Lepisosteus oculatus: one gene and its partner. The protein of the gene in region 2 purifies or fractionates together with the protein of the main gene of each other region. This does not show direct contact. Links are inferred from orthologs where the notes say so. Each region holds a gene or a part of one and is shown on either strand. Other genes may lie near its edges.

Region 1 (11,970 bases), on a different chromosome or scaffold from region 2:
AGAGATATAGCTTACTTACAAATTGGATCAACTTGTCCTCAAGGTCCCTACATTATATGTACAGTATCACACCTGAAGAAGGCTCCACGGCCGAAACGTTTGGTATTCTTTCTTTTCAGCATGGAATAAACCTATTACTTGTTCCTTTGCAGCCTACGCATGCTGACGCAGCTACCCACCTGAACTACTTCATATTACATATATGTTGTGTTTTTCATGTGTTACACATTTATAGGAATTACAGAAACAAAACAGGATTTTGTTTTAGAAGCTCCCCGGGCACATTTAGTTTTCCCTCTGCAGTTACACAAGCAAAGCAATCCAAAAAATATTCGAATTCTCACAGCCCGCCATCAGTTACCTTTGGGTCGTACTGTGGCGTGGCAGGCTCAGGGCTGGGCCAGGGTGAGTGATGTGTGGAGAGGAAAGGGTTTCCATAGTGGCCAGGAGGTGGCTGGGGGCCTGGCTGCCACTGTTGGTGAGAAGGGTGCCCGTAGCCCCCTGGGTGAGACCAGGCTTCGGCTGGAGGTCTCGAGGGCACTGCAGGCTGAGCAGGATACGCATGGCTCTGGGGTACTGAATGAACTCCATCTCCGTAGTGAGAGTAGGAAGCAGGAGGGTAACCAGGAGCCTAGGAGAGGAGACACGCAAAAGTAGGATAACAGCTGTTGGTTCTTGTGATGTAACTTTAGTTCTGTATCAAAGCTGCCAGCCCAGAAGAAAGCGGTGATGAGTACCCTACCCCCTGGCAGTGTGGAACGGGATAACGTTGGTGGTGAGAAGGGTGCTGGCCCACTCCTACTGTCGCAGGATTAGGGCACCCTTGGGACGGGTATGGGGGTGTTCCTGGTGGCTGATCACCACAATAGAAGGGGTTGGAGGGGTGGAGAGCACCGGAATAGACCCCGTTATGGTAGGCTGGCATTGCCTGTGAAGCAAAATGGAATTGTAAAGCATCTCTGAGCACACAAACAACAAAAGCAAAAGGTATCCAGAGCTTTACATCTTTTACATCCTATATAAACTAAGAGAGGAGGAAGTGAAATTTCTTACTCATTTTGACAGAACATATGTTTTAAGAGAGTTATTGCACTCAGTCTTGCCAGGGACTCATTTCAACATGTTAAACTCCATAAGTTCAGTCCAACTTGGCCACTTTAATCCAATGTAATTATCCACAACTTCTACTGCTTTAGTCTTAGTATAAAATATGACACAGTTTTCCAATCAATTATTGATTACTATTGTAATAGCTTGTGAAACAACTTGATGCACATGGCTTTTCACTTGAATATTGAGAATATCAAGCTTGATAGTATAATGCGATTAAAACAACCTCTCTTATAGACCGAGGGGAGGAACACTTGAGTGAGCCAGTCCACCGATTGAGTGTCATGCAGTGAAGCAGAATCACTCAATACTGTACCTGGGGGTTGTATGGAGTCTGTCCATTGACTTCTGTTCCAGGAGAATATGTATTTGAATATGGACCGGCTGGGTGAGATGGTGGGTACCAGTAGTTGGATGGATAGCCAGGGTAGGGTACTGAGTCCTATGAGACAAACCAGCTGTTAGAAGGTTACCATGTTTACTGCGGCAAAGAGTATTGCAGTACTACAGAACAGCAAAAACCAGCCTCCTCCAAAAAATCTGTCAGCTCCTTCAGGGGACGATTAATCGTACATGTGGACCTCTTTGTCCAACATGTTGGTACTAGTTCTGCATTCCTTTATCAACAGTAGGCTAACAAACCCCAAGGATGCTGTCTACACCTGAATATAGGGATTAACCACCATCCTCCCAATGTGATTATATTAGTTACTTAGAGGAGATATTTTCATTTCCCCGTGTATCAATACTCTTGGAACGTTAACTGATTTTTTAATATTCTATTTTTTTGGCTGTCATTTCAAGAAAAATGCAAAACAAAATTCTTAAACACACCATGGTCAAAATGTTTAATTGACACTCACATGGAAAAAAAATGTTTTACTGAACAAACCTGGTGGCAGATCTTTTTGAGTTTAGTTTAGAATCACGTCTTTATAATCATGGTTCTCTGTCACTGAAGGATATGATTAAACTTTTCAGCTGGGCATCATTGTCCCGAAACTTGATGAACTGGGGTCCAGTTCTGCAGGTCGTCAATTTGAATGCAAATGGAAATCAGACAGAAAACACTCAATCTGTTTAATCTATGAGTCCATTCTACCAAAGCAAAAACTGTTTTATCTAGTGACTGATTTTTGGAAGATGAAAGCTGTCATCAGATCAAATATTTCTGCTTTGAGAACTAAAGGAATATGATTGGAATCTCCAAAAAACTCCATCTGACCTGACTGCTGGAATACTTAAAATGACCACCTGTTTTCATTATTAAGTAATTAAGTAAAAATACCCTGAGCAAAGGCAGACTCATTTCACATCTTTCTTTGTAACAACTGTTCTAGTGTGATCCTTCAGTTGCAAACCCATCTGAATAGAAATTAATTAAGTGAAACTTTTCCATTTCAGTCTCTGTATAGGCTAAAAAACAGCACATAAACTGCTGTGGTTCGAGTTGTAAATTATTTGTTAATGACCATTTCTGTTTGCTAGACCATTCTTGTGTTGCTTGCCTTTGACGCTGTCCATTATAACAATCCCCTTAAACAATTTAAAATTTGCATTACTAACTCTGTCCTTTGTTAGTTTGTGTCCTGTCTGTACAAAAAGACAGTGTGTATCACTTCTTCACTGTACTTCTTCCACAAACCTGTTCCTTACTGGTGTTCATCGGAGTCGATAAAACAGGGCTCTCTGTTATCCACTAACTATAGTACAGTATATATTACCCTTCATCCAAATAATACAGAGGCAGAACACTTATTGTTTCTATGCTGGTGATAATAATGACCTAATTTCTAGGTCACATACTCTAACAGTCTTTGCATGTAATCTTGTAGGTATCAAAATTTCATAACTTAATAATAAAACTGAGGTTCTATTAGTTTCTATTAGTTTGTTCTCAGCATCAGACTGACAAATCCAGAAGTTTAAGGCAGTCATTTGATAATCGTGTGTATAATAAGAAGCTACAGTAGCGGTGGCCAGCCGTGGTGTTGAAGAGGCACAATCCAGCTGGTCATAAGGTCACCCTTAAATCCATTTTCAAATGCTTGAAACAATTTCATTTTGACCACAGAAGCAGGACATTCAGTTCCGAGACGAATTTTTGATCTGAAATGAAATCAAAATCACTTGAGAAACAAGTTCAATGTATTTACGAATTAAGATTTAAAAGGTTACTATAGGACCTACTGGACTGTAGCTCTCCAGGACCAGTGGTTTGGCCACCAACATGTTAGAGCATCGTTTTGAAGTACTTGTATTTTGCTTGACTATCGTATGCTGAGAAACTCGTCTTAGTTTTTTTTTTAATTATTATTATTCTAGGACTGATCCTGGTATCTCTAAAACACAACTGAAAGATTTCAAATTGTGCAAAGCAGTGCTGCTTACTCCCTCATAAAATCTATATCAATCACGTGTATTCATGCCACCCCTCTCCTGCGATCACTGCACTGGTTACTTATAAACTGTGGTTTGGACTTTAGTATTAACTTGCAAAGTTTTACACATTTTTGCTGCACTGTAAATAAAAGTTTATTTGACAACTTTATGCTCCCTCTGGTCATGCCTTATATTTGGTAAAATGTCTATGCACCTAAGATAAGGAATTATTTGAATTATTTGCTCTTCTTTGTACGGTACGATGCCGAGCCAGTAAATATTTTTAGGTGGTTAAGAAAACTGCTTCTACACGTCGGCTTTTAAGTAGCTTTAAGTAATTTAAGTTATTGTCTGCCTTAAATGTCCGTCTTATAGTTCTGTTGATCTAAGCCTGTGTGCTGTTACATCAGCACAGTATAGTAAAAATATACAGGGGTTAATACGGTACTTAAGACAACAACGACAACGACAAGTCGTTTAATGTGTGACACTCGAGTGAAAATACTGGAAGGAAATTAATGAATAATAAAGTTCAATTAAGAAGAAACGAGGTATTCAACCAGATTCGAACATCTATAAGGTATCCTACTGTAGCTGCTGAAGATAAGCCCCATAGCCTATTCAACGCTGCCACAAGTTACACGAAAGATCACCAATATGCATCCTAAGCTAAGCACTACTTACCCGACTGCCTGTCACCATAGGGGCATTCCAGTTGTTGTTTTCCGAGTTGTTGCTATAAGGAGGCCAGGTTCCTTTGGGATTTGATTGCATTTGGTGCATCGCCCATACAGGATCTCCACCATTTGCACGACCTCTCTCGTTGCCTAACGAATCGTACGCCATTGAGCCCGATTTTACCAACTTGACATTCCTTGTTAAACCAGTGTACGGTTAGAGTTCTGTGGCTGTGCGTTTAAAACGGAACACAACCACATAAAACAATGAGACGCGAAACGTGTACCGCCCCTTTAAGTTTGAGGAACTCTGCTTTCCTCGTCCTAGATGGCAATTATTACATGAGGGCACACTCTTCTTACGTCAATAGGTTAAATCATTTTTTGACCAATAGGTGTTCAGAACTCGGAAACACGTCCCACCTACATCCTGGAAAACGACCTATAGATGAAAGCGGGGTCTTGGTGCCCTTCTGACTGACGTCACTTCTGGTTTTTGCCGGGGAATTTAAAGGGGACGTCAAAGGTTCTTCTAAAGTATCTCTAGGGACATTTGGGATGGAATAACGCATCCTTGATGCGTCAATATTTGTCATATCTACTTGCAGAATACGTTCCTTTAAGCTTCGTGGTGCTATATGATGGCACAGTGTAACGGCTGTGTTTATTAACACCATCATTGAGTTTGGTCTCTTGATTATAATTTGCATAACTAATTATATAAATTGGTTAGGTAATCCTAATGATGTAAAATCAATACTATTTAACCTTGAATCAGACATGGTGGGAAGTTTATATTCCAGTAACGTTTTGACTCTTCTCAATCGGAACAAGACAAGTTAAAAACAACTGAATACGAATAGGGAGTATATAACACAAATCAACTTCTTCAGTCTCTCTGCTCTCACTCCATAGTAGCGTAATATCTAATTCTCCGGTAGGATATTGAAATTTGCTTCAAATTTGCAATCAATAGAACTCAACTCGTTACACACAAAAGAGCACGACAAATGTGAAATGTATTTAATTTATAACATGCATATCCACTAGTAACTATGCCAATAAATATGTTTTTATCCCCAATTTAGCGTTTTCACTCTTCACGAGATCTGTAAATTGTCTTAAGTGGAACATCAAATAAAGAGTTAAATCACAGAGGAAGTGCAGGTCTTACACTAACCTTGCACTTCCTGTCAAGGCAAGGATACACACATTTTGAATGATTCATGGCCAGAAAACGGCTCTTTATAATTATTTCCAACTTTAAAATAGCATAGTTGAATAGCGCTTAAGAAAATGAATTATATGCCGGGAACAGCGAGTCTAATTGAGGATATCGACAGTAAGTAATACGTTTAATTACTGCTGATCCGTACCTTACAATGTATCTTGTGAAGCTCTGCTCGGTTGTGAAAGAGCAAGCGGTGTATTGTTATTTTTTTCAGCTAGTAAAGCGGCTTTTCCCCGTGTTGTTTTTCAATGTGAGTGACTGGTATTGCTTAGAAAATGCAGTAAACGGCGATGTTGTTTAGTCAATATTTGAATGCCTCAGGTTAGGTGTCCCAATTCCTCCCTTAACTCTCACCTCGTCGAACCATGTCGAAACGGTTTAGAAAATAATAATTTATCGCAAAATAAACGTGCACATATCATTTTACTTTTCTGTTATGGTAAAACCGACCTACAAGGACATAAGACATTACGGCTAGCTGCCATGCATGTGTTATTTCCCTATAACATTTAATAATACTTGTCGATGAGTGGAGACTAAAACATCAAATGTTTCATTGCATTGCTCAATTAAGTTATTGTTTTTATTTGTTCCTGACTATGATGTCGTTGCACGTCCTGTGGTGAACGATAGTGAAAACATTGATTGTTGATTACCCTCAAGATCTTTTGCTGTATTGGTTTTTTTTTCTTTTGCAGAAAAACATCTTGTCCTTCTACGAGACGGGCGAACACTGATTGGATTTCTGCGAAGTATTGATCAGTTTGGTATGAATCATTGTGGATCACTTGGGTTTAGCTTTAAAGATTTTCTCCGTGACTTGCATTCAACTTGGGGGATAACGTAAAAATGCAATTTGCCAGGACATGCGTATCATCATACAACTCGGAAATGAAATTGGTTCCTTTAAAATGAGTTCATTTCTTGTTGCATTCAGTTAAATTTTCTTAGTTGTTTTGTTAGTGATCAATTTCAACGAAAAAGGCTGCTGTTTTTTCTCTTGGTAGGTAAATCCTGTAGTTATGTTAATCACAATCCCTAAATTCTGTGTTGTGACAACTGAGACTTCCACATTTTTATATCTTGGAGCTAACATTTCAGAAAGAAAAAAGTTTTAACTTGATCACTGCGAATCGGTGCATTTGAGAGTTCCTTGCTAATGGATTTTTAACTGCATTTCCGTTTAATTTGCAGCTAATTTAGTCTTGCATCAAACAGTGGAACGTATCCATGTGGGCAGAAAGTATGGAGACATCCCTCGAGGAATATTTATAGTGAGGGGGGAAAATGTTGTTCTGCTTGGAGAAATAGTAAGTAGGCTTCTCCTTCTATAGCAGCTTGTTTCATCAGTTGGAATGTTTCTAAGGATGTGGCTCTGAAAACGGTTTCCTTGAATCAGTCCTATATACACAGACTTGTTTTTGTTATTTTCTGAAAATAAACTGATCTGGAAAAACTAATTTCACAAAAAAGAATAGGCTTGAAAAAATGGCGGTTGATCTGGTTGTAAATACCCAGTTTCTCAAACTCCCTTTGAATGCTGTCTTGAAAACAGCTCTGTCACTGGCTTATACCCAGAAGATTAAATGTAATGGAAGTAAAAGATTCTCACAGCAGGGTGAAGCTGGCACTACCTATGGTAGTACATTTGTCATATACAATTACTGGATGTGTAGCGCAGTTGGGCTTTTCAGCACATTGTGAACATGCCTCTGAAAAGATCAATTTATCGAACATATGATAGCAAGGTATCTCACTGCAATCAACTGGAAAGACTTTGAACTTAAGTGAAGTCAAAAACTTGGATCTATTGATGCTAGAAAAAATTATCTGTGATTTTCTGGGTATGTAGAAGGGAAAAAATTATCTCCAAATCAGAAATTTGAAAACATTATAAAGGACGCTCCACTGGTAATCCTATAAAGGACTTTGGAAACTGAGGATGATGTATCGTAACTTTCAGCCTTATTAGAATATCTGTTGTCTTTTTTTTTCTCTGCCCAGGCTTGCTTTATCTTAGCACACTGCACATCTAACTAATCAAATAAAAATAGATCAAATCAGCAGAGAGCCTTAAACTGGTCTGTGTTTGATTCCTAGGATCTGGAGAAGGAGAGTGATACAGTCCTGCAGCAAGTTTCCATTGAGGAGATTTTGGAAGAGCAGAGGGAGGAACAGCAGGCTAAACAAGAGGCAGAGAAATTAAAACTACAAGCACTTAAGGACCGTGGACTGTCTATCCCACGAGCAGACACCCTAGATGAATACTGAATCCCTTTTATTTTAATTGGACCTTTCAGTTTTAAAACCAAGATGATGACAGGTTGTTGTTGTTTTCACAAACTAACATGATCATGTCCTGAAGGGAGAGGAAAGAAAATATTTACCCCTAACAGAACTTGCCACGTTTTGTTTTGTCTAATAGTATTTCAAATGAATGGCGAATTATGGATCTAAACTAATCGTCTTTTTGTTACCTTTGATATGTGTCACATTGGACGCCAGGGCAAATCGCAACAAAGCACTTGTTTTAAGCTGCTGTAGTTATTTTCATATTATGTTTCTTAAATGAAAAGGACTTCTTGTTTTTTGTACTATTCTGTCAGAATAACGGTGGCTGTTTTGAGCTGCCATGTAAATAAACAGAGAACAATCTAAGAATTGTTTAAAAAACTGTCAACATTTTGGTCTTTAAAAATATTAGTGTATTGTTTTCGTGCAATATAACACTTAATTGTGATTGACTGTTGAATATATATATATATAGGGTGCTGGGAATACTTAAAGACCCATGTCTTACTGTATTTGTTCCCGCTCTTTAGTTTATCCTGATTTTTTCATTTAGAATTGTTTTTTCAGCTATATTAAATTAATTACTTGTGGCTAGCTCAAGCAGGTATTGTGCACCAACAGTGTGTTGAAGATAAGGGAAATCTGTACAGTGAGCAGTGTGTTTTATCTGGCCAGAGTTTTTTTTTTTTTCTGTGACACGAGTGCATTGCTCCATACTCGATGGGACACCTGACCACCACATGGCTGTCCCTCATTTGTAGTTCTGAGTAGACTGCAGTGCACGGAGGAAATGAAATGAGCTCTCATCCCATTAACCTAGCACTCCACAGCCCTGGCTTCTAGCCTAATGTGAGAGACAAAATTGAACTTCTCTGTGGAGAAGGTCCTTGGGTTCAAGCCCGAGTCAGGCCACTAGCCAGCTGTGAGTGGGATTCCCCGAGCACCATCTCACACTCAGGGAGCGTGGGGTGGGTTTATCTAAACGGCTCCGGCTTGTGCACGTGTGGGTCTGTCAGAGAGGCAGTGATCTGCACAAATAAGGGGAATGAAGAGTTTGGGAAATTGTCTTGCATATAATTTAAAATATTTTTTTTACGACACTCCAAACAGAGCCTGGCTGCATCGAACTTCCTTCTTAACTGGATTCTACCAGTGGTCAGGTCAATTGGTTGATGCATTTCTTCTGAAGCCATACCTATCGATAAACGATCCCCCAACTAACTGTCCATGTCAAAGAATCTGTACCATGGAGACTAAGGAACCATCTCCATGACCGAATTCTGAGGAGATAGACAGGTTTGTAGGGTACAGTATGCAACATAGCTGAGCAATTGGGCAAGATGGTCCTTGGTCGTAAATAAAAGTATTGATCTCTTTGGCCTGAATAGAAAGCACTATGCCAGGTGCAAACTGAGCACAACTCATCACCTGTGTAACACCATCCCTTCCAAGAAGCCTGGTGGCGGCAGCTTCATTTTATAAGGATGCATTTCAGTGGCAGGGCCTGGGCCACGTGTCAGGAGAGAAGGAAACGGTGCCACGTACAAGCAAAGCCTTGAGGAGAACGTGCTTCAGAAAGCACAAGACCCTAGACTGGGATAAATATTCACATTCCAGCAGGACGACAATCCCAAGCACACAGCCAAAGTCACAATGAAGTCCCTATGGCCCAGCAACAGCCCAGACCTGAATCCCACTGAGAGTCTGTGGAAAGGCTAGAAGACTGCAGTTCACTGATGCTCCCCTTCCAACTTGACAGTTTGAGCAAATCTTAAAGTGGGTGTTCATAAAAAAAAAAATCCCTCAGGGGACAATAAAAATCTTATCTTAACTTGTTTAATAATCATAAATGTTGCTAATTTAAGTATTTAGACCTGTGAACTCAATATTTGATGGAAGCACTGTTGACAGCAGTTACAACTGCAAGTAGTTTTGCACATCAGCTTAGTATAATTTTGCAGATTTGCTCAAGCTGAAGTTGCTTGGAGATCTCTTACAAACAACTTTTTGCACGTCTCTACGTAGATTGTAAAAAAGATGCAAGACAGGAATTTGACTGGGTCACTTAAGGATATTAACAGATTCTGTAATATCTGTAGATATGGCCTTGCTCCTTGGATCACTGTCAAGCTGAAAGATTAATATTTGTGCCACTTTTAGGTGTGAAGCAACTTTTCTCTAAGATTTGCCAGTACTTTTCTCCATCTACTGTATGTTCCCATCAGTCTTGACACACTTCCCAGTCCCTGTTGATGACAAGGAGAAGTATAACATGATGTTACCACCATCGTCCTTGGTGGTAGGAATGGTATGGACTAAGTAGGCACTAGGCTGGTTTAGCATCAAATGAAATGCTTTCCATTTAGACCAAAAGGTTCCAAAATTGTCATGTTTGACCACACAAAACCGTTTGCCACATATCTTGCAGTGTCTTGTAATGTTTTGTTGTAAACCCCGTGTGGGATTTGAGATTTGTTTTCTGCTCTGGCATACAACACAGCTTTGTGGAATGATTGAAATATTGTTGAGTCATGGACGTTGTCTCAGCCACTGAATGCTGTAGCTCTTTCAAAGTTGCCATCAGCATAATAGCAGCTGGCCAAGGAGGAAACTGAGGCAGGCAGTGTATGGGTGCTTTCCAGTCCTTAATGACACAACTAACTATGTAGCTAGTTAAGGTTATTTTGTGCAGCTGAATTAATTTGGGATTTGAGGATTTGTTTTCTGCTCTGGTAGAATTAATTTAGGTTTGCCTTGGCAAAGAGTTTGAATACTTCAAACTACTTGTACATTTTTCTTTCACATTATCTACTTATTTCTTTTTTGCTTTGAATGTGTGGAGTTGGTTGTGCATATAAAAACATCGATGTCTGCTTCATCCTCTCACGGTTGCGAGTGTTAAAGCAACAGACTGCAACTCTTGATGTTGGTACTGTAAGTCATTGTCCCGTGCAAGTTGTACAGGAGAGACAATGTTCCCAGCAGATGGCGCAACGGTTCGGTGCTCGATTCAAATCAGTGAAGCTGCAAAAAAAAAACTTAAACATTTTGCCAGTAGACCTCTCTTTTTTCTGTCAGTCTATGAATATGCAGCTAGTTCGCAAAGACATACGCAGATATGCAAGATGTTACTGAGATTTGAGCGATGTAAATACAGCTGTCTCGGACGTAGTGAATAGTTACTATACATACATCTGATAAATTGAGGTTTTTAAGTGTTGTATAAACCCCAGACCTTTCGAAAAATCGAATGAAATTAGACCTAATAATCCCCATCTATGAACTGGCTTCATCCCCACCGAAAGCTGGTGTGTGGTGCGCGTTTTGGCGCACTATGACTGCCGTCGCATCATCCAGGTGGGGCTGCACATTGGTGGTGGTGGAGGGGAGTCCCCATTACCTGTAAAGCGCTTTGAGTGGAGTGTCCAGAAAAGCGCTATACTGTATAAGTGTAAGCAATTATAATTATTATAATTAATTATTATTTTTTTCTGCGTAGTAAAGGTGTGCAATTTAACAGGAGTATCTCCGCTATCTGTTTTGATGTAAAACAGCACCTTCCACGAGGTAGCCCTCCTCCGCCTGGTACGGGGCGGGGGCTGGTAGGGGGGATTAGAAAAAAAAAGTCTGCTATCAGATGTCTTTGACAGCCAGACATGCCTCTTCTCTCAGCGTTCGTGCGTCAGGAGCAGCCGTGGGTACGCCTCTTCCGACCCACTGTGCCTCGGTAGCCGAGCAAAAAGAGTCCTCCGTTTTGCTTGCTTTATAGGAAACAAATCTGTTAGAGATAAACGGGTGCTCTTCTGTTTTTCGGCCGAAGGAAACAATACCTGTACTTTCTGACCCAGAGCTGACCAGAAGCACGGGGAAGCCGCTTGGAGCGTCGCCAAACCCCACAACCAAAACCCAGCCCTGCTTTGATTACGCGCCGAGAGGGGGAGCATGTTGAGATTGTGACAACCCCAAGTGTACTTTACGAACTCCGCAGTGTTATTACTGGTCTGCAATCTAACCTGGCTCACAGACGCGGCCACTATCAAAGAACCACCAGGGAAAAAAATGCTTAGACAACGGCATGTGTGATACTCTAAATTAAATGACTATTTACTGAACTATTTAAACTGTTTTATCTTAAATATTTTGTAATGGACATGTCTTCGCAAAACGATATCCGTAAACTCCTACCGTGCTTGTGTGCTGGAGACTTAAGTGCTGGTGTGCAAAGCAGTTCTTCGAGTTCAGAATGTCTACTCGTTTGATTTGAATTGTCAAAGAAAA
Region 2 (12,057 bases):
CTGCGCATTTCAATTTCCTTTTATGAAAAGGTGATGTCACTTATTTAACGAGTTGAGGTAGAAGAACAATATTCTGAAACCTCATATTGTGAAGCAAAAATTGGTAATTCAGCATACAGTAGCTGATGCTTTTCACAAGCACTGAAAGGTTGTATAATATACTGTAAGCACAAAATAGATGAGGGAAGATTTCACTTGTGAAACAATACATACAATGCAACAGTGTTATGTAATGCGGATTAAATTAAATTTTGAAGGGAGAAATAATGTGTTAGGGTCTAAATACTTTTGCAAACCACAGCACATACAGTACATACTGTACAGTAACTTAGTAAAACAACAGTTAAGAAAGACCACATATTCACAGCACCACAGTGACCCACACAAGGTTATTGTTGTCTAAGTTACAAATATGTAGTTAAGATAACTTACTAAAGGGCTAGAACAATTGTAGAAACTACAAAGAATTTGTTTTAAAAGATTTTGAAAGGGAAACATTTATTTTCTTTTAATCTTATTACTCTAAAATAGTTTTTTTTACAATGTCTAGTTTTTATATATTCTTGTGTTTTGTTTTTCACCACATTCGTATTTCTCTCTGACAGTGGTTATTAGCTTGAAACCAAGGGCGTAACAAAGTCAATCCTTGGTCTCCATTATACGACACTAGTGAGAGATCATAAGACAACTGAACCTTTTATTCAATACAACAACAAACATTTTAATGTAGAATAACACCTTTCATCATAACTAAGGATCACAGTGTAATAACATATTGAGTGTTCGGGGGATGGGGCAGGACAATCAGTCAAAGGCATAAATTACTCTGTAATTGCTTGAATCACTCAATCCCAGTATGTGTTTCACAGTAAATTAAGATGATTTTACCAATCCATGACTTTAGCTTAGTATTGTTATTCTGTAAATTCTATTTTAGTCACTTTGGATACCTTTAGAAAATTTCTAACCACATTACATTCTGTATTGAAATGAAGAGACCTCTTTTCCTGGAAGTGTTTCTGTCATCCTATCAACACTAAAAGAGTTTTCATCATTTGATTAATTAATTAATGTCTTGCATGTTTTGAGTGAATAAATATGTATTAAAGTACTTGACGTATCCTTAACAAAGTGATCTGCTATATGTCAGACTTAAAAACGTAAACCTGATTAATTGTCATTTCTCTATTTGTAATTTCAAGTCCTGCCATGTTTTATAAGTGTTTCCTTGTTCACATTAATTTAGAAATGTAATCAGAAGAAGTGAGTTCAGACAAAATCTTGGAAGGAGCTCTGTTAAGTCCATTTAAGGACATATACTAGAAGAATTTATGCCTTGTGGTAGTATAAATAAATACATGCACGTTATATATAAAAAGGAAAGCCCATTCAGAGTATTTTACGAGTGGGAATTCAAACTGTAACCTGTTCACTTCTAAAGTAATTCCAGTTTTTAACCAAAACAAAAATAAAAAACAACACAAAACTGAAAGGAAGATTGCTAAGCAATGATTCTTTGAGGAAATGCCTACTTTGAGATTAGCTACAGAGAAACAAATCAACCGTTACATTTGGCCATTCTGAAAGTCTTTTAAGAGCAGACCTCAATGTTCCCAGTCATGTTTTCCAGTCCCACGTCATGTTTGTAAAGCTCTTTCCAGATTTGACCTGACTGTACAAGTAAACAAACCCCCGTTCTAGGTAAATAAGGACCAATTGGACAAAGCTTTTCTGCACAATAAAAGCTTGATATGTAACATTTGTTTTGTGAGTTTATACACATTATACATGTTATTCTTTCCTTCTGCATTTATTTAATTGAAGACACTAATCTAGGACAAATCACAATATAAACATTTGACTGACACTTCCTGGATCACCTTTACCTAACAGAAATTAAAACTTGGAAAGCATGCATACATATTAAACTCAACAAAACCAGCCAGCTATAGCAGAAAGAAGCCACTGCACTGTCACATCACTTTTCATCACTCCCGATTTTATTATCTGTGTCCTTTTCCCCACTTCTCCTTGTCCAGTCTCTTAACATCCTAAAAGGATACTTATCCCATCTGCTCTTTAGATCAGCATGCCACTTCTTCCTCTGACCTGCACAGAAAATGCCGTTGTCCGTTTCCACCTCATTAAGTATCATTGATGGGGAAGGCTGTTGAAGAACTTGACAGTTTCATCCCTTAAGCACAGATGAGTCTTTGAATTCTGTAAATGTGTAAACGTTTTCACATTCTTTGTGAAGTATGTTGTTCTGTCTTACCACATTTGTGCTCCTGATCAGAATCTCATAATGTTCCTTCTAGAGCCTCTCAGATGTTGATCACACGTTTAATGTCCATCCCAGATGCCACCCCTGCTGACAGACTTATTTATAAGGAATCTTGGTTTTCCTTTTCTTTTGAATCAACAATCGCCGCATCTTTGTCTGGGAACATTGTCTGGGAGCATTACCTCAATGCCTGGAAAACTGAGGTCATAACGTAGGCTTCCAAATTTTCTTCATACCACCTGAACAAAGGTATGTCTCTTTCTCTCTTTTGTGCATGCCAAGATTCTAAGTCATCTCTTTATATTTCCTAGATAGATTATGATGTTGTATTTTTTAAAAAATACAATACTTCATCACTATGCAGCAGATGGTATCAATCCCTGCCATACATTACTTCAGAGCTGGCGCCTCTACATTGGCTACCAATTAGGTTTTAATTTTCATTTGTATCCTAGTATGCTTCTTTGATACACTGGCAATCTTGTATCTTGTATGATGCTATATATTAGAAGAAATCCTATTTCTAGCATACTCCTTACTTTTATCCCTAACGCAATAACAGCTGAGTTATTTCAGAAATTCTGTATTCCCAGTTAATATGTCCCCGTCAGTCTTATTTTCCAATTCCTATTTGACTCCCACCACAATACCCAGAAATAAATTCTATTCTTAAGTAGTTTCATTTGGATAGGCAAACAGACAAATATTCAGCTATAGAGCTTACAGCACTCCAAGGTTTTGGTAGCCTGGCTGTATTTAATTCTAAATATTGTTATTGACCTCTTCAGTTGAGGGTATTTAAGTTGTTTCTGGATTTGGAAGCATGAGCTTCATATCAACCAATTGAGGAAGCCCTTAATTCAGTCAATTAGAATACAGGAGAATACCGAACCCAGTAATCCCTTGGTTTAGCAAACTTTGCTTTAACGGACTTCAGATTTAACGGACAGAATCTGCTAAAGGTGAATTTTGTCTGTAAAATACCTGGATTTTCCAGCCATAATGGACAAAGTGAATCCAGACAGCAGGCTTGGTTTAAAAACAGGACAAAATGGGAAAAATATAAGAAAAAATGAGTTGTAAAACACATTTAATGTAAAATATTGATTAAATATTTATTGAAAAGCCATTAAGTCTTTCTATTTATTCTCACAACAACCCCTGTATGTAGGATAGTATTCTCCTTAGAAACTCTTGTGTTTCATGCAAAAACTTACAGGCACATATTTATACTTTATATACATAGTAAAAATACTTTAAACAACGTAACAGAGTAAAATGTACTCTGCCATTTGGGTGAAAAGGAATGTTACAGAGATACTGTGGTGGCAACAGATGTGCACTAGTAGCAGCTCAAAATAGCGCTTTTCCTGCTGTTCGAAAAGTACAAGTCAGCTGAACTTATCTAAGGTACTAGTGCCCTCTAGAGTCATAACCACTGCTTTTTTTCTCCTAACAACTTATTGATGACTTCATCTCATATTTTTATATCATGATTCAGTTATGGAAGCTCATGTCTTGAATTGTGTTTCATTTTTTGATCGTTGTCATTCATTTTTTTAAACAATGAAATACTAAGTATTTCTCTTATGTGTAGGAAAAAGCATGGAATATCTCCAATCACATTTTTTCATAAACTCCTTGATTTGCCTTATTTCACAGTGCGCAAAATTCACTAAATCTAAAAGCAACATACTGTATATACACATACGGCACAGGCTTGAAATACCACTCACTTGGTCAAGAGCACTAGACTATCACTAGACTAGACTAAACTCTACTTTTTAAAGTCATGCTGTGCTGTTTTAAGAACAGTTTTGTAAGTAATTTAAAATAAACAATTACTCTACTCAATCTGATTTTGAAAGGACACAGAGAGCCTATTTTCTTGATTGTATAATCTTCTGTACTTGCTTGTACCTTTAGACATGCTAAAGAAATGTTACCAGAATGATAAAGGAAATCAATAGCATAACTGGAGTTCTTGTGTGGCAATGCACACTGAGACATTATACTGCTCTCCTGGAGTAGTATAGACATGAGAGGTGAGGGGCATACAGATACACTACATTCATACATTTAAAAAATGCATTTGTTTAAAAGGTTAAATTATGGTCTCAAATTGACAAAGGTATAGTTTTTGTAACACTACGTTTGTATTCCAAAGCTCACAATATACTGCATTTTATTTTATTGACTATAGCTCTTGGTATATAAAATCTGGTTCGACACTATTCATTTGAAAGTCTAAAATATGTAACAGAGCAGACAAATGTGTGATCAGTTTGGTTTACTGTCACTCATCAATGAATTTAAGAAAGGGTACTTACAAAAGTAGAATTTTCAGTTCTTGCCATAAGGTATTTAAAAATATTGATCTCTTTTTGTAGTTTCTTGAAGAGTTCTAAGAAAACAGCTTCAGCAGCAAAGTTGAACCTCATTGTCCCTGACACCTGTGACTTTTTTTGTATAAAGAGGTTCCTACTATTTTTCAAAGTCCAGAATGCATGTTTTCTTCATTTCTACCTCTGATAGTCTAGTGGGTAGATCAAAATCTGGTGGTCAAAATTGTTCAGGATTTTGAAGACTCAAGTTAGTACATTATCTGTACATAGTGGAAGAAATTTTTAGGTTTATTCCTATGAGACCAAAAACAAACAAAAATTATGTTTTTGGGTTGTTTTTATGGGATGTCCTGGCCACGTGGCTTAGGATATTAAAGATCCCATTACACTGTTTATAAGAGTAGGGATTTTAACCCTGCAGTCATGGCTAAATTTCACTTTGGGCGTGTACAATCTATTCTACCCAAAGTCCTCAATTAATTCAACTGATGAAGAAAATGTTCTTCTTGCTCTCCTGATCTGCTGTGTAGTGGGGCCACTGGTGTATGCTTCTTGATTGTCCATCTGAGTTCTGTCTTTCAGTGGTGGATGAAATGTCTTCTCTCCTACAGAATAAGTTAAGTGCTTTTCGATCATTTGGAATGAAGGCAAAATATAAATTCAATTAATTTCAATGCTGATTTACAGTAAATAAATCATTCATTCTAAAACTGAGTAAGAGATATTTTCACAATTGCAAAATAATAGAAAATACCAGCTATAACAGTACGAAATATAGTGAGATAACTTTTCAAGTATTTATTGTAGGTTAATTATGTACATCGTATTGGTTTTTTGGTATTTGGTATTTGGTATTTGGTATTGGTATTTTTTTTTACTTATAAAAGTGTCCACACTTGAGACTGTGTACACATCATTTGTAGCTGAACAAAACCGGACATCTTTGGAAGAGCACGAATGTTTTTGCAAAGCACTGAACTCCTGTGATGTTTTCTACAAATACAGTATATTCATTGGCCATATTTATTTATGGCACAAGCTTTGTACTGTAGCAGGCAACTGTCTGGCGTTAATATACAATAATAATTATCCATTTTCCATTTAATGTCTTACTAGTACAGTACTTCCAGTCTGGATAAAGCTCTTTTTTTTCAATTATGGGGCTGGCTCGATCTTCATATTTTATTATTACAGATCGGTACTGTATGTCTCTATATTTGCCGTTTTTAAAATATATTACAGGGCTGTCGTGCTATACATGGGGGATACTTGGGGTTCTATGATGACGTGCATTTGCTTAATCAGAAGTGCGAACCCTTTAAGAAATTCGTGTATTCTGCTATCTGTTAGAAGCCTTTTTTATCGCGTTTCAACTTCCCCCCAGTATTCAATCAGTTGTCTCTAGAGTCGATTAGATGACCTGTAATGTGACGCTACAAACGATTAGTCACGTCTGACTGTTTACAGTCAGAGGTGGTGAAAAATGGCGACTTCCTGCTCATGGGTGTACAGCTAGAGTTAATAAAATACCAACTTGACGTTTTTAACTTTAGATTTACTTGATTTTATTTTATTTAATTTTTTAAAAATCTGCAAAACATTCAGATACCATAGAGGTATTTTGGGGGGGATTTAAGTGTTGGGATCAAATTTACTGAGGGCTCCGTATAACCTAACAGAGCAGGGGGGCGATGAGTTCTACATCTGGGATGGTATCAGGCACCTGTCTGGCGGCAAAAGGTTTGGACATCAGCCTGGCAGCCTTGCAGCGACATGACCCGTACATCAACAAAATCGTAGATGTTGCCAGTCAGGTTGCCCTGTACACATTCAGCAACAAAGCAAACGAGTGGGTAAGAAAGCAAACTTAACACTCAGCCCCAGTGGCACACGCTGTTGGGAAAATGTTATCAATATTGTTATTATTGTTATCAGTTGACATAATTTACCTGTATAGCAGAAAGCTTTTCTCCGTTATTTCAGTGATAAAAGCGATGAATGCTGTGAGAATATACGTTTGCAAGGAGTTGCAGGGAAAATTGCGTTGATAACGTACTTCGTTGTTTTGATGATTTTCATCCTGAAGTTTTGACAAACTATTTTGATTGACGTTGTATGAAAAAAAAACTCGTTTTGTTTCGCCTGCGTAAGAGAAGCAAATTACGCGTGCAATGTAATTTAGGACATTAAAACTTAAAACCTGTCGGATAGAACAAAATACCATGTAAAATGATCATTTTTGTATCAGCTTGAATAATCAACGTAATAGTTTATCAATTGCTCTTTTTTTTGTACAGCCTTCTGAGATTATAAAATCAACCTCGTGTCCGAATGTGGAGTTTATAAGGAATAGTAGAATGAAGCCATTTCTTGGTAGCGAAATTAAATTTACCAGCACAGGTAAAATTTATTAAACGTGGTGTTGTGAATAAGGAGAAAATCTGAAGTAAATTCTTACAAATTTCGGATAAACGTCTGTTTCTTTAGTTAATTGATATACCTTTCAGTAGCCAGTTAGAGGAATTTGCGAGTAGAATGCCAGCCCTGTTTCCCCTTTACTTTGGGTACATATCAGGTACATTTCTACATTTACTGTTCTCCTGGCTAACTTAATAAACTACATTTTGATGTCTCACATGCTGTAAAAATGTTCCAGTTCTGTGTTCTGGATTGCTTCAAATGCGCAGTCAGTTTATAAACTGTCTACTGCAGTTCGTAGAATCGAGGCATACATGTGACAGAAGACGCTTTTGTGAGGAACCCTGAAAGCTCCGTGCACTGCAAATGCAGTCACAAACCAATAAACAGATCATTCTTTTCTGAGAAAACCGATTCAGACATTCATTTCCCCCCTCTTTGTGCTTTTAAATAGATTTTAAATAGGTGGAGTATTTTTTTGCCATAGAAAGAGATGGTATCTTTGAGGGGAACGGGATCAGTGTGCTCATAGAAACAATAACATTTCTTTAAAGAAAGTGCTCAAATATCTCGTGCATTCTGTATCTGTTCTTTCTCTAAAAACTTTCTTCTTTCTTAAATAGAAAGATGAAAAGCTTATGACCTAACTTGAAAGGCATGATGATGAAACTTAGTGCTTTCTGTCAAGTTAATACAACACTGTGCTTTTACATTGATCAGGGAACACTGTGTAAAATATGCTTAGCGTGTGGATATTGCTTTGCCAGAAGAGTTTTTTGTTCCTTGCTGGCCTTTTTATTGGCCAGTCAAATGGAAGTGCCAGTCTCATTATAACTATGACACGATCGGATTGGCAGAGAGTCAGGGTTGCAGAATGGGCATTGCAGACTCACTGTAGCCTGTTGACTCTGACTTCAGCTTTAAGATATGCTGTCAAATACCGGTTTCCAGCAAAGCATCTGTCCATCCATGCATTACCAGAATGCTTCTTGTTCCTGGAAACGATCAGTACCACCCTGAGGCCTAGGTCTCACGTGGCGCACACACAAGACAAACACACAAGCACACAGGGACAACTGGGAGGCACTGGTTAAAGTGAGCCAGAATGTTTCTAGAAGGTGGAAAGAAACTGGTGCACCCAACCAAAACCCACAGGAAATGAACTTGCCAACTCTACACAAATATTAAACCATGCACCCAAGAGCTGTGAGCACGTCACCGTGCTGGCATCCAGTAAAGCCAAGAACCGGTATTTACTTTTTTTCATTGTTTTTGCCCTTTTCAGTCAGAGATATCGGACTGCTTTCCCACCATATAAAATATACTGTAGATACAGACCTATATTGGCACTCTCCATGTCCTGCAGTGTTTTTATTAGGCATAAAAATGTTGTTTGGTAAATTTCCTTTTGGCAGTATCTCTTCTGACTGCACAATTTAGCAAATGATAGTTAATACTACTTATGAATAACTTAACCAAGGCATTTTTCTAGTTACAGACAAGTACTTACATCCTGTTTCTACAAATGGTTAACTCTGTAAATCAGAACTGCAGTGTGTTGGGATAGTATAAAAAGCATTGGCAAAGAATTGTTTTCAAAGTGCTCAATTGCATTCAATAAATTAGTGGAAGACAGAGATGGATGGTGTTATAGCTATGGCTATGTGAAGTTTGCTTTCATAACACTATGTTTAATGTGTTCTCTCAATAAGAGTGAAATTGTGTTATAGAAGCATTTTCTCCTTGCCTGCCTTTTAGCAAATTGTTACTCTTTAGGTCTCTGTCATTTTCTTTAAGCCGTAGTGCTTTAATTTAAGCAGTTTTTCATTTTTCGCCGCAAATCTTTTTTCTGAAGGTAGTGCACATCCAGCAGTTCCAGTTTTAAGAGTTAATAACATAATGTTACCTTTCTCTTCAGGAAAAGACTGATGTGGAAGGAACTTTATTTGTGTATACAAGGTAAGGGAGGTACAGTATGTCTGATAACGACGTCTCACTTTATGAGTTGATTTGCCATAATGTATCAGTTTTGGAAGGATAACTGTGGACTATTCATCCTTTTTCTGAGTACTTCATCCAATTCATAGTAGCAGGGTAGTCAAAGATTAACCCAGCAAACACCAAGTGCAAGGCAAGGTAGACTCTGGATGGGACACCAGTCCATCACAGGACACACACAGGCACAGACATGCACACACTCACAATAGGACCATTTTTCCCAGAACATAATTAACCAAATTAATCTGCTGCTGTGGGAGGAAGCCAGAGCACACGGCGAAAACCCATGTTTATGATTCACCTGTAAGATGTTTATGATTCAGGAAAAAACAGGAAACAATTTCCACCAAATGCCAAAATATAATGAAATGTGTAATTTTGTGACCAAAACACAACCTACTGTATGCAGCGTAGGGGGAACACTAGAACAAATGACAATGTGAAGTCTGTTTGGAGCGACACAGTTTCATTCTAATGGATCCTAAGATACAGATGAAACAAAACAAAAAGAAGTTTAGAAATACAATTTAGAGTCTCTTGTTAGATCAATCAAATCAAGGAATGTAGGTAGTGATTAGTACCAACTAGGACTGTAATCCACTAGGAAAAGCAGGTTGCTGTAGTAGGTTGTGTTGGTGGGGCAGAAAGCGTCACTCTTTCGCCTGATGCGACGGCGGCCATAGTGCGCCAGAACGCTCACCACACATCAGCTATCAGTGGGGAGGAGAGCAGAGTAATGAAGTCAATTCATAGAAGGGCATTATTAGGAGGCCATGATTGGTAAAGGCCAAGGGGAAATCTGGCCAGGACACTGCCGGGGTTACTCTCCTACTGTTTATGTTTTGGCTTTCACAAACACTCTACACCAGTCTGTTTTTCTTCATTTCTTGGATGCAGGATAGATCACCTTAAAAAGTGAAGATCTCATGTGCATGTTAAACCCAGTGCTGTACAAAATTTTGATTTTTAAATCCATGTTTGTCTTTAAAGAATTTCTGCAAGGACTTTTTAACTTGATCCATTGCCTTATGCTTAGAGCTCCAAACAACACAATGAAATTTTGCCCTGATTTTTCCTGTTTTATTCTGGTCTTAGGTCTGCCTCCCCCAGGCATGGCTTCACCATAATGAATCGCCTGAGTATGGACAACCTCACTGAGCCAATAACCAAGGATCTGGACTTTCAGCTGCAGGACCCTTTCCTGCTCTACAGGAATGCCCGTTGTAAGTATGTGATAAAATGTATTAACACTGCTGGAAACAATTATTCATTTTTTTTGCTAGCAAAAAAGGTCAAGAAGCTTGTAAGTCCATCCAAAAAAAAATCCTCAAAAATGGCTGGGGCACTCTGAAGAAAAACATGGTCTTTCTATTTACTCCACACACAGTCCATATGCATAGACTGGTGCATGAACTCTTTAGTGAGGAATATAGACATTATCAGGCACCATATTCCTAAATTAAATTTGGAGAAATTAATAGCAATATAATAATTAAACGACATATAGTAATACGTGTGGGTAGCTGCGTCAGCATGCATAGGCTGCAAAGGAACAAGTAATAGGTTTATTCCATGCTGAAAAAAAGAAGAAAGCAAACACAACATTGTTTGCAATGGTCATGGCCGTCGGGGCCGTCTTCAGAGAACACATCAGGGCTGTGAAGATTAAAGATCTCTCCAAGTCTGTTGTTTCTTATTTCACCTCTGACGGCCACGACCACTCTAATCTCTCCGTCTGTGTTCTCAAAGATGGTTTTCCAAACTCATACATCAGAAAGACTACCGAAACCAAAATTATCCTGCAGCTAGGGTCAGACCTTCCCCCTTCTCTTAACGACATACTACTTTTCTTCTAAATTTTCTTCATTCATTAGAGGTTTCATTTCACACCTCTCTACACCTATTCTGACTTCACACCTCTTAATTGGCCTCTCTTTCTGTCCCCTGCTCCCACCTCTCGCTCCTCCTCTCTCCCAGCCTTTGTTCTCCTGCTACATTACCGTTGCCTACTGCCTTGTCTTTCTCACACCTGAAGAAGGCTCCACGGCCGAAACGTTGTGTTTTCTTTCTTCTTTTCTTCAGCATGGAATAAACCTATTACTTGTTCCTTTATAGTAATACACTTTGAATACATGTTGAAATCTGCTCAAAACTGTTACCATGGAAGGATAGAAATATGCACCCAGATACAAATTTTCTAGTGCTGCAAGATGTGTTTCTGTAGCAGGTTGATAAAATTACTGACGGGGTCCACCGGCTGTCAAATCACATTTCAGAAATGCTGTAAATACCGTCAAGGTTATATATTTAATATGGGAAAAGTCTGTGACAAGCAGGTTATTTTAAACTTTTTTTATGGGGTTTTAGTGTCCCTGCTGAGAACACCAGCGATTTGACATGGCATTTTATCTCCCTTATCCACCACCAAAGCCATTTATGTAGCTGCAGCACACCAGGAGTGTAACCTGTGAGGTGAAAAGGAGCCGGATGAACGGTTACAGAGGTGTTCTGCATGGTGATGATTGCAGCCCTTTATAATCAACACCTGCTTTCACAGCAGACAAGACTGAAGACTATTCTCTTAAGTGCGGAAATTAAGTAGAAGGATGTACAAAATTAAAGATGAGTCAGAAGGAACCACGCCCCGATCTGAAACGGAAAAGCACAAGAAAACTGGAAATGACCAGCACTGTACCCAGTACCCACTATACCCATGCAAAACCAAGTAGAATATCCATAAAATGTTACAAGGAATTTTGAAACGTCTCTGAAAAACAGCTAATGGCTAAAGGCACATAACATGATTTTACAGATCATAAAACTGGTTGGAAGAATTGGTTTGTGGCTTAATAAGGAGGACGATAATGAATGAAGAATATGTCAGAAGGAGATGGTGATAAATTTTAAAAAATAGGAATGTTTCCCTTTTGTAAGTTTTCAAGAGGAATTGAGCAAAACGTTTAAGTCTCATTTTCTTTTCAAAGCATAAAGCACTCAAATACATATAAAAAT

The links.
Region 1: the proteins of dcp1b (region 2) and bag4 purify together in Homo sapiens (affinity purification with mass spectrometry; 3 studies listed by BioGRID and IntAct, counting the BioPlex papers as one, with this or other methods). This does not show direct contact. The link is inferred for Lepisosteus oculatus from reciprocal best matches to the Homo sapiens genes DCP1B and BAG4.

What each region holds. Positions count from the first base shown.
Region 1 is NC_090697.1:70,603,694-70,615,663, reverse strand, and holds the start of bag4 (BAG family molecular chaperone regulator 4), read right to left. Parts: upstream 4,515-11,970; 5' UTR 4,339-4,514; coding exon 4,177-4,338; intron 1,553-4,176; coding exon 1,427-1,552; intron 929-1,426; coding exon 743-928; intron 632-742; coding exon 362-631; intron 1-361. UniProt on the Homo sapiens protein: Inhibits the chaperone activity of HSP70/HSC70 by promoting substrate release. Prevents constitutive TNFRSF1A signaling. Negative regulator of PRKN translocation to damaged mitochondria.
Region 2 is NC_090702.1:7,871,708-7,883,764, reverse strand, and holds the start of dcp1b (mRNA-decapping enzyme 1B), read left to right. Parts: upstream 1-6,076; 5' UTR 6,077-6,320; coding exon 6,321-6,482; intron 6,483-8,965; coding exon 8,966-9,006; intron 9,007-10,140; coding exon 10,141-10,268; intron 10,269-12,057. UniProt on the Homo sapiens protein: May play a role in the degradation of mRNAs, both in normal mRNA turnover and in nonsense-mediated mRNA decay. May remove the 7-methyl guanine cap structure from mRNA molecules, yielding a 5'-phosphorylated mRNA fragment and 7m-GDP.